Linked DNA regions of Macaca mulatta. The protein of the gene in region 1 interacts with the protein of each later gene in a biochemical or structural test. Links are inferred from orthologs where the notes say so. Each region holds a gene or a part of one and is shown on either strand. Other genes may lie near its edges. The genes, in order: CHM and RAB7A.

Region 1 (3,826 bases):
ATGCAGAAAACCTAGGCATACAGGTTTTGAGTTGACTATTGAGCTATGGGCAGTTTAACAATATCTTATTTGATTAGTATCTTTTTTTTTTTTTTTTTTTTTTTTTAGGACGGAGTTTTGCTCTTGTTGCCCAGGCTGGAGTGCAATGGGTCGATCTTGGCTCTCTGCAACCTCCACTTCCCGGGTTCAAGCAATTCTCTGGCCTCAGCCTCCCAAGTAGCTGAGATTACAGGTGCCCACCACCACGCCTGACTAATTTCTGTATTTTAGTAGAGATGGGGTTTCACCATGTTGGTCAGGCTGGTCTTGAACTCTTGACCTCAAGTGATCCACCCACCTCGGCCTACCACAGTGCTGGGATTACAGGTGTGAGCCACCGTGCCCGGCCTGATTAGTATCTTATATTTGACTAACCTTTTATAGTTTATAAACTACTTTTCATATATGTTAACTTTCTTATCTCACAACAGTTTCATAAAAGGTAGGGCAGGTGGACTGATCCCCAGTTTATAGGTGGTGAATCAGACAGATTAAATGACTTGCAAGTATTTCCTAGGTGATGAGTCTGGGATAGAACATGGATGTTTTCCTCACTTCAGTTTCCTAGATCTCAAAAGTATTCATGTAACATTAATGATATCAATTTGTTTTTTTGTTAGATTTTATTAGAATTACTATAACAGTAAATGTGGCATTTTATTTCTTGACATTTGAGTGTTATTCTTTCATTGCCCCTCTTTGTTTTTGTAGTGTTTATTGTATTATTTTTAATAAGACAATTATTTTTTTCACTTAACTCAGATTTTCTAATTTGCAATACAATGTTTTTTTCTTGGCCTTATTTTTTGTGTTTTTTGCAAGAAGTTTGTTTCACATTTGAAACAAAAATAGCCTTTGCATGTATAAACCATTATTCATCAAGCATTTATCAGATACCATATCTATAGAGCAGTGCAGTAGGTGTTGTGTGGGGCACAGAAGGAACGGTGCTAAGGTATTCCCTCCAGGAATTACAGTCTGATTGGGAAGATAAAGGATATACCGGAAAACCAAAAGATTATTAAAAAGGAATGGATAAATACATGCTAGGTAAACTGCATGTGTGTATTATGGGAGCATGGTATAATAGAGTGATGAGTGTAATTGGGCTAAGGAAGACTAATTCAAAGTGAAATTTAAACTTTTTCTTAAAGTAGTTTGTTAAAGTATGTGATTATGTTTGAGAATGGAAGAATTGTGATATTATGCAGAGTGGGAAGAAAAGGACGGAAGAGACAAATGATATGAACCAAACTATCATGATTTGACAATTAGAATTGATAAATTTGGAGTTAGAGATGCCATGTTGGAAAGTAGGTGGAGATGAAGCCAGAAGATTAGTAAATAAGGAAGACGGTTTGATTTAGAGACAGGAAGAGGAAGATTTTTTTGTGGGGTAAGTTTTAGATTTGTTATAAGGAAGGGCTATTGTTAGTTCTTGATCAGTCAACTAGCAGAATTTTAGTTGCCAAGACCAATCGCATACAAAGCATTGTGCCAGATATTGAGCAGTGTGGCAACTCAGTGAAAATAGTGGGCTCTGTGGAGGATAAAATATCATACAGAAATTGCTAAAGCAGACAGACTGAATGGGAGCCTGTTCTATAAATCAAGACAATGGTGGACTGAGAATGTTAACTCTAATAATAAATTTGGAAATGGGACTTCGACTAGAGTAATAGACATCAGTGCTAAAAAAGGCAGGAAATTATACAGAAAGGTCCTATTAGACACCACATTGTGATAGGCCAACTTAATCTTTTCAAGGCAGATTTTTTTTCCCTTTATTGAAGGTCTTCGGTCATATCACCAAGTCAGGAATTCCTCAATAATAACAATGTTGATAACTACCACTGTTGAGCATTTACTATGTCCCAAGCACTGTGTCAGGCTCTTTGCATGCAGTACTTAATTTAATCTTCAGAACAACCTTGTGAGGTGGGTGGTATTATCTCTGTTTCATAGATGGGTAATTTAGGTGGTCTCAGAGAGGATAAATAACTAGTCTAAGTTCACAGAGCTTACTAGTCATATGGTCAGGATTTGAACCAAGATCTGTTATTCTGAAGACTATGTTCTTCATCACTGTGGTAATTTGCCTCCAAAATACAACTCCCCTGTCTTAAATTCTCAAAAATGTGCATGTGACGTGAAATCTTTATATTTTTCAAATCTTAATTTTGTTTCTTATTTTACTGAAACATGAACAGATGAATGTTTAATGTCTGAGTCACATAAGCAAAACGTACACTGAACTTGATAAAAGGGGTAAAGGAATAAAAGTTGCTGTGAAAAGTTAAAGCAATATAAAAATGTAGCAGGGTAGAATTAACAAAAGCCTGGTGTTTATTATTATAATTTCTTATTAGTCAGGATTTGCATGAAGATGTAGAAGAGGCTGGTGCACTGCAGAAAAATCATGCTCTTGTGACATCTGCAAACTCCACAGAAGCTGCAGATTCTTCCTTCCTACCTATGGAGGATGAGTCATTAAGCACTATGAACTGTGAAATGCTCACAGAACAAACTCCAAGCAGTGATCCAGAGAATGCGCTAGAAGTAAATGGTGCTGAAGTGACAGGGGAAAAAGAAAACCATTGTGATGATAAAACTTGTGTGCCATCAACTTCAGCAGAAGACGTGAGTGAAAATGTGCCTATAGCAGAAGATACCACAGAACAACCAAAGAAAAACAGAATTACTTACTCGCAAATTATTAAAGAAGGCAGGAGATTTAATATTGATTTAGTATCAAAGGTAAGTACTAATTTTACCCATCTTTGCATTAAAAACAGTATCTGGACCCATAAACCCAGTTTTTGTAATTCTCTGAGATGCAAAACGTTTGTTTTGTAAAGAGAGAGTAGCCAGACATTTGTAGTTCATTTAAAATATTCCTTAAGTACAAATTAAAAACACGTTTAAAGTGATCACATTAAAATGCTTTAATTATGTTTTTAATCTATACCTGAAGAATACTTTTGTACTTGAGCACATACTACAACCTAATATTCTCTGGACACTATGAATTCTATCAAAAGAAAAATTCTAATGAACATGTTTAGAAATCCATGTTATTTACAGTCCATTTCCATCAATTCTTTTAGCCTTTATATATAGTAACTATTTTCACAACTGGATGATGATGAATACTCAGAATAAACCAATGCATTTTTAAAAATCATGTGTTCACATGGACACAGGGAGGGGAGCATCACACACCGGGGCCTGTGGGGGTTGGAGGTTAGGGAAGGGATGGCATTAGGAGAAATACCTACGTAGATGATGGGTATGTAGGTGACAGGTTGATGGGTACAGCAAAACACCATGGCGTGTGTATACCTATGTAACAAATCTGCACGTTCCGAACATGTATCCCAGAACTTAAAGTATAATTTTAAAAAAAGAGTCTCAAAAAAAATCATGTGTTCAGGTTTGAAAGCTTCAGAGGAAAATTTAATAGTGATGGAGGCAGGAAGGCTGGGAAGAAAGCTATTGTCTTCAGTTATGTTCCTGAATATAACTAACTTGAACGTAGTTCACTGTAACTTCACAGGAGGTCCCTCCATCTTAGAAGGGTACAATATTGCATTTGGTTTATAGGAAGCAAGACTATTTTAGTGCAAAAGAATAGAAAATCAGTAAGATAAAGGATTATGGCCTTAAAGGGTTACAGTACAGGACAGGATAAAAGTAGATAAAAACAGAGACTAAATCCTATAAGTTGAGAGCTAACAATAAGGAATTGAAAAGAAGTACAAGAGGATAGTAAGTAACTTGCCACAGA
Region 2 (3,826 bases), on another chromosome or scaffold:
CCCAGGAGTTTGAGGCTGTAGCAAGGTATGATCATGCCGTTGCACTGCAGCCTGAGTGACAGAGCAAGACCCCAACTCTTAAAATAAAAAGATTCTGTGGTAGGCTTTTCAGACTTGGTATCTGAAGGGACCCATGAAAGCTTTGACTCATTGGAAGCTTATATATTTTTAAAAATAACAACAATAGCAAATGCAGGCATGCTTCTTTAGTCCAAAGTCCCCTGTCCTTCCTTTGAAAAGCCAGAGGTTTTTCTATCTTGACTGGCTTATCTGAATCACCTGAAGAACCTTTTTTTGTATGCGTGTGAGAGACAGGGTCTCGCCCTGTTGCCCAGACTAGAGTGAATGGTGCAATCACAGCTCACTGCAGCCTCAACCTCCTGGGCTCAAGTGATCCTCCCACCTCAGCCTCCAGAGTAGCTGGGACCACAAGTATGTTCTACCACTCCTGGTTAAATTTTTGTATTTTTTGTAGAGACAGAGTTTCGCCATGTTGCCCAGGCTGGTCTCAAACTCCTGCGCTCAAGCAATCCACTCGTCTCGACCTCCCAAAGTGCTGGGATTACAGGCTTGAGCCACAATGCCCAGCCTTTGAAGAACCTTTTATTCGCTAGCATTTGTCCAGCCCCAGACCAGTGGGCTAGGGCCTAAATTTGTGCTGTCTTTCCTACCCCGCAACTCCATCCCTGTCGGGATGGAAAGATAGTGCTTTTAGGCCTGCCTTACCCAAATGTGTGCAAAAAGTCTCACCGAGCCCTCATTTGATTCCAGGTTTTGCCACCTCTCCCCTTGGAGATTCTGGCTCTGGTGGTCTGGATTGGAAAACACTGCCTTAGGCTGTCTGGGTACCTCTAGGTTCTTTAACACAAATATGAACATGTTCCTTTGTGGCAAAGGAAGGTGATATCACTGGGTATTTGGAAGGTTTTTGCATTATCTTTAGGTTGCCTTAACCTCATCACACAAAAATCACACATTGTCTCTTGCTGAGTTTTCTTACTGGAAAACATATTTGGAGGAGTATTCTTTGAAGTATATTTGGTTTGGTGATATATTGGTGCTTTTTCTGCTTCAGATTTTAAACTTTAAAGCAGCAAATTGTCTGAGTGGTATATGTCTGCTCAAAGCCAAGGTCTTCCTCCTGGTGTTACTTCATCAAGCTAAAGAGCAGCCACTAAATGGAGAAACATCTAAGATAGCAGGGATACTGTTGGAATAGCAGAGCACTCTTATTAGTGAAGCTTCTTTAGAAGGAGTATATTTGCTGGCATCCTTCTAGAATGGGAAAAATAATACTAGGCTTTACCATTTGACCTGATTGTACCAAAACATGTAAGCAGCTTTTCCACATCTGCCCCACATCTGTACCTTGTATTTTTACCCAGAGAGAAAGCACAAAACTTCAAAAGTGTAATGCTGGGAAGGCTACTGGCATTGCCCTTTGCTGTGAGAGCAGTTTCTTGTCCTTCAGGTCAGGCAGATTCTTTCAAATGCTTCAAGTAATTCATGTCAGTTTCAGGACCTTCCTATTTGACTTATGCTTGTGGTTTTTCTCCAATTTCAGAGTCGGGAAGACATCACTCATGAACCAGTATGTGAATAAGAAATTCAGCAATCAGTACAAAGCCACAATAGGAGCTGACTTTCTGACCAAGGAGGTGATGGTGGATGACAGACTAGTCACAATGCAGGTAAGCATATGTCTTGGCTGTGCTAACCAGGCCTTGATAGTTCCTTTAGTCTTAATCTTTCCTCATGCATAGACATTTTTCTTCCCTGTTCTTCAAATCTTATTATCCTGTTTGTAGATAATTGGCTGATACTTAGTTAAATTTGAATTTCAGATCAATAGTGAATACTTTTTTGGTATACTTCTTGTATATCTCAGATACAAATTGCTAAGACACACTAAAATTTCTTCTTTTTTTAAAAAAAACTCAGATTTATCCTTTCTTGTTTTTTGTTGTTTTTGGTCTTGTTTGCTAAATTTGGCAACCTGCAGGTCTCTATCTTGTGTTTCTCTTGACGTTCTTGCCCAGTGCTTTAGGTAAACATCTTTGTCTCACCTCAGTAGTGAGACATGAAGTTTCTTTATTTTTTTGACTTTCTATTTCATATGTAACTTCAAGAGTTGTGTGTCTATTGAGCCAATCTGTTTTTTTTTTATGTATCAGCTTATTAATCTTTCAAGGGTTTCCCTTTCAACAGTTAGGATAAGATGTAGATTCTTTCATGTGACTTGTTGAAAAGCCTTCACATTCTGGCTATAAACTGTTACTCCCTTTTTTTTTCCCCTTTGAGTCATTTTGTTTGTATACATGTATTATATCCCTAGAAAAGAACCCCTGAAGGGTGGATACCTTGAGCCCAGGAGTTCGAGCCTGCAGTAAACTGTGACTGCTCCATTATACTCCAGCCTGGGTGATGGAGTGAGACCCTGTCACTAAATTAAAAAAATAAAAGAATCCCATGATTTTCCCTCCTGTATTTTCATCTCTTTATTCATGGTCCGTGATGCCAGCTGAGGTTGTCAGTACAACCTGACTTTGAAACCAAACTATTGGGATAGGAGTAGATTATTCTGTCACTTTTCTAGATCTTTGAGTTGCACATCAAATCTGGGGCCATTCATTCCAGTTTTAACCTGCCTGTGAGGTTCACAGTAATTTTCCCAGCTCTGTGATCACCGATGATTTCAATTTTTCAATGTGATCATGTTTCATTTCACACTTAGAACCAGACGATGACTTGGGAGCACAGCCTAATAAGTACCTGGTGTTTGCCTTTGAGAGCATCAACCAAGACATTCATGCACACCATTATGGAGGCAAGGAAAGATGGTAGAAATAGCTGCTACTCACTTTTTTTTGTCTCCTTCCAGTCCTTCTGAATCATGTGCTGCTCTTACAGACTTGTGTTGGTGGATATGTCTCTGCTTCCAGCAGGGCCTGTATACCCACCGGAAGTCTCCAACTTTTCGCTCAGATCTTTTGAAACTTCTATCTCTGTGGCAGATGTTCTTTCCTACATGCTTCTAGAGGCAAATTCCAATCCCATTGTAGTCCTAGCAAGTACCTGGCAGATAGTGGGGGCTCGCTGAAATGTGTGAATGATGTAGGTTAAAGGTAGAAGTTTGTACATGTGTTGACCTCGAGCTGTGGCATGCTCCTAGAGGATCAGGACTCTTAATTGACTGACACTTCTAGGACAGAGCTAGTATGAATCTCTCATCCTCACCTTACCTATACACATACACCTAGAGATCTTCAAAATGTAACTGCAGTTTAAGCAAGTCAAGCTTGAGAGTAGAACTGGAAAACCTTGGCCCAAGGAATTGGCAAAACTTGTGTCTGCAGTTGTTGGAGAATCTCAGTCCCACTATCCACGTGTACAGAAATCTTTGTCTCAAAGAATTTAACATAAATCTCTGTCAATCCTGGCAAAAACAAGGGTAAGACTACTCTGTAGGGACATTTACTACTGTAGGAGAGAAGATGAATTCATAACCACATGAGGAAATAATGTACCACAAGAGATGTTCACAATGACTAGAGATGTTCTAAAAAGAAATAGAAACCATAATGGAAAGGGATACTATAAAAAAATGAGGATATGGAAAACTTAGAACTTCAAGAAGTGAAAAAAATAGTATTGAAATAAGCTAAATGAACAGTTAAACTGTAGATTAAATACAGCTGAAAAAAGCAGTAAGCCATAAGAGCTGAGCATATTTTCTAAAAGAAGACTTAAAATTTTGAAGACCAAAAAGCAAAATCTTAAGAGCAACTATAGAAAAAAACACACGACTTACAAAGGAACAACAGAC

Evidence for each region.
Region 2: the proteins of CHM (region 1) and RAB7A are reported together in a solved structure, tested with the Homo sapiens proteins (2 studies listed by BioGRID, with this or other methods). The link is inferred for Macaca mulatta from reciprocal best matches to the Homo sapiens genes CHM and RAB7A.

Annotation. Positions count from the first base shown.
Region 1 is NC_133426.1:92,377,734-92,381,559, reverse strand, and holds part of CHM (rab proteins geranylgeranyltransferase component A 1), read left to right. Parts: intron 1-2,408; coding exon 2,409-2,796; intron 2,797-3,826. UniProt on the Homo sapiens protein: Substrate-binding subunit of the Rab geranylgeranyltransferase (GGTase) complex.
Region 2 is NC_133407.1:155,157,760-155,161,585, reverse strand, and holds part of RAB7A (ras-related protein Rab-7a), read left to right. Parts: intron 1-1,564; coding exon 1,565-1,691; intron 1,692-3,826.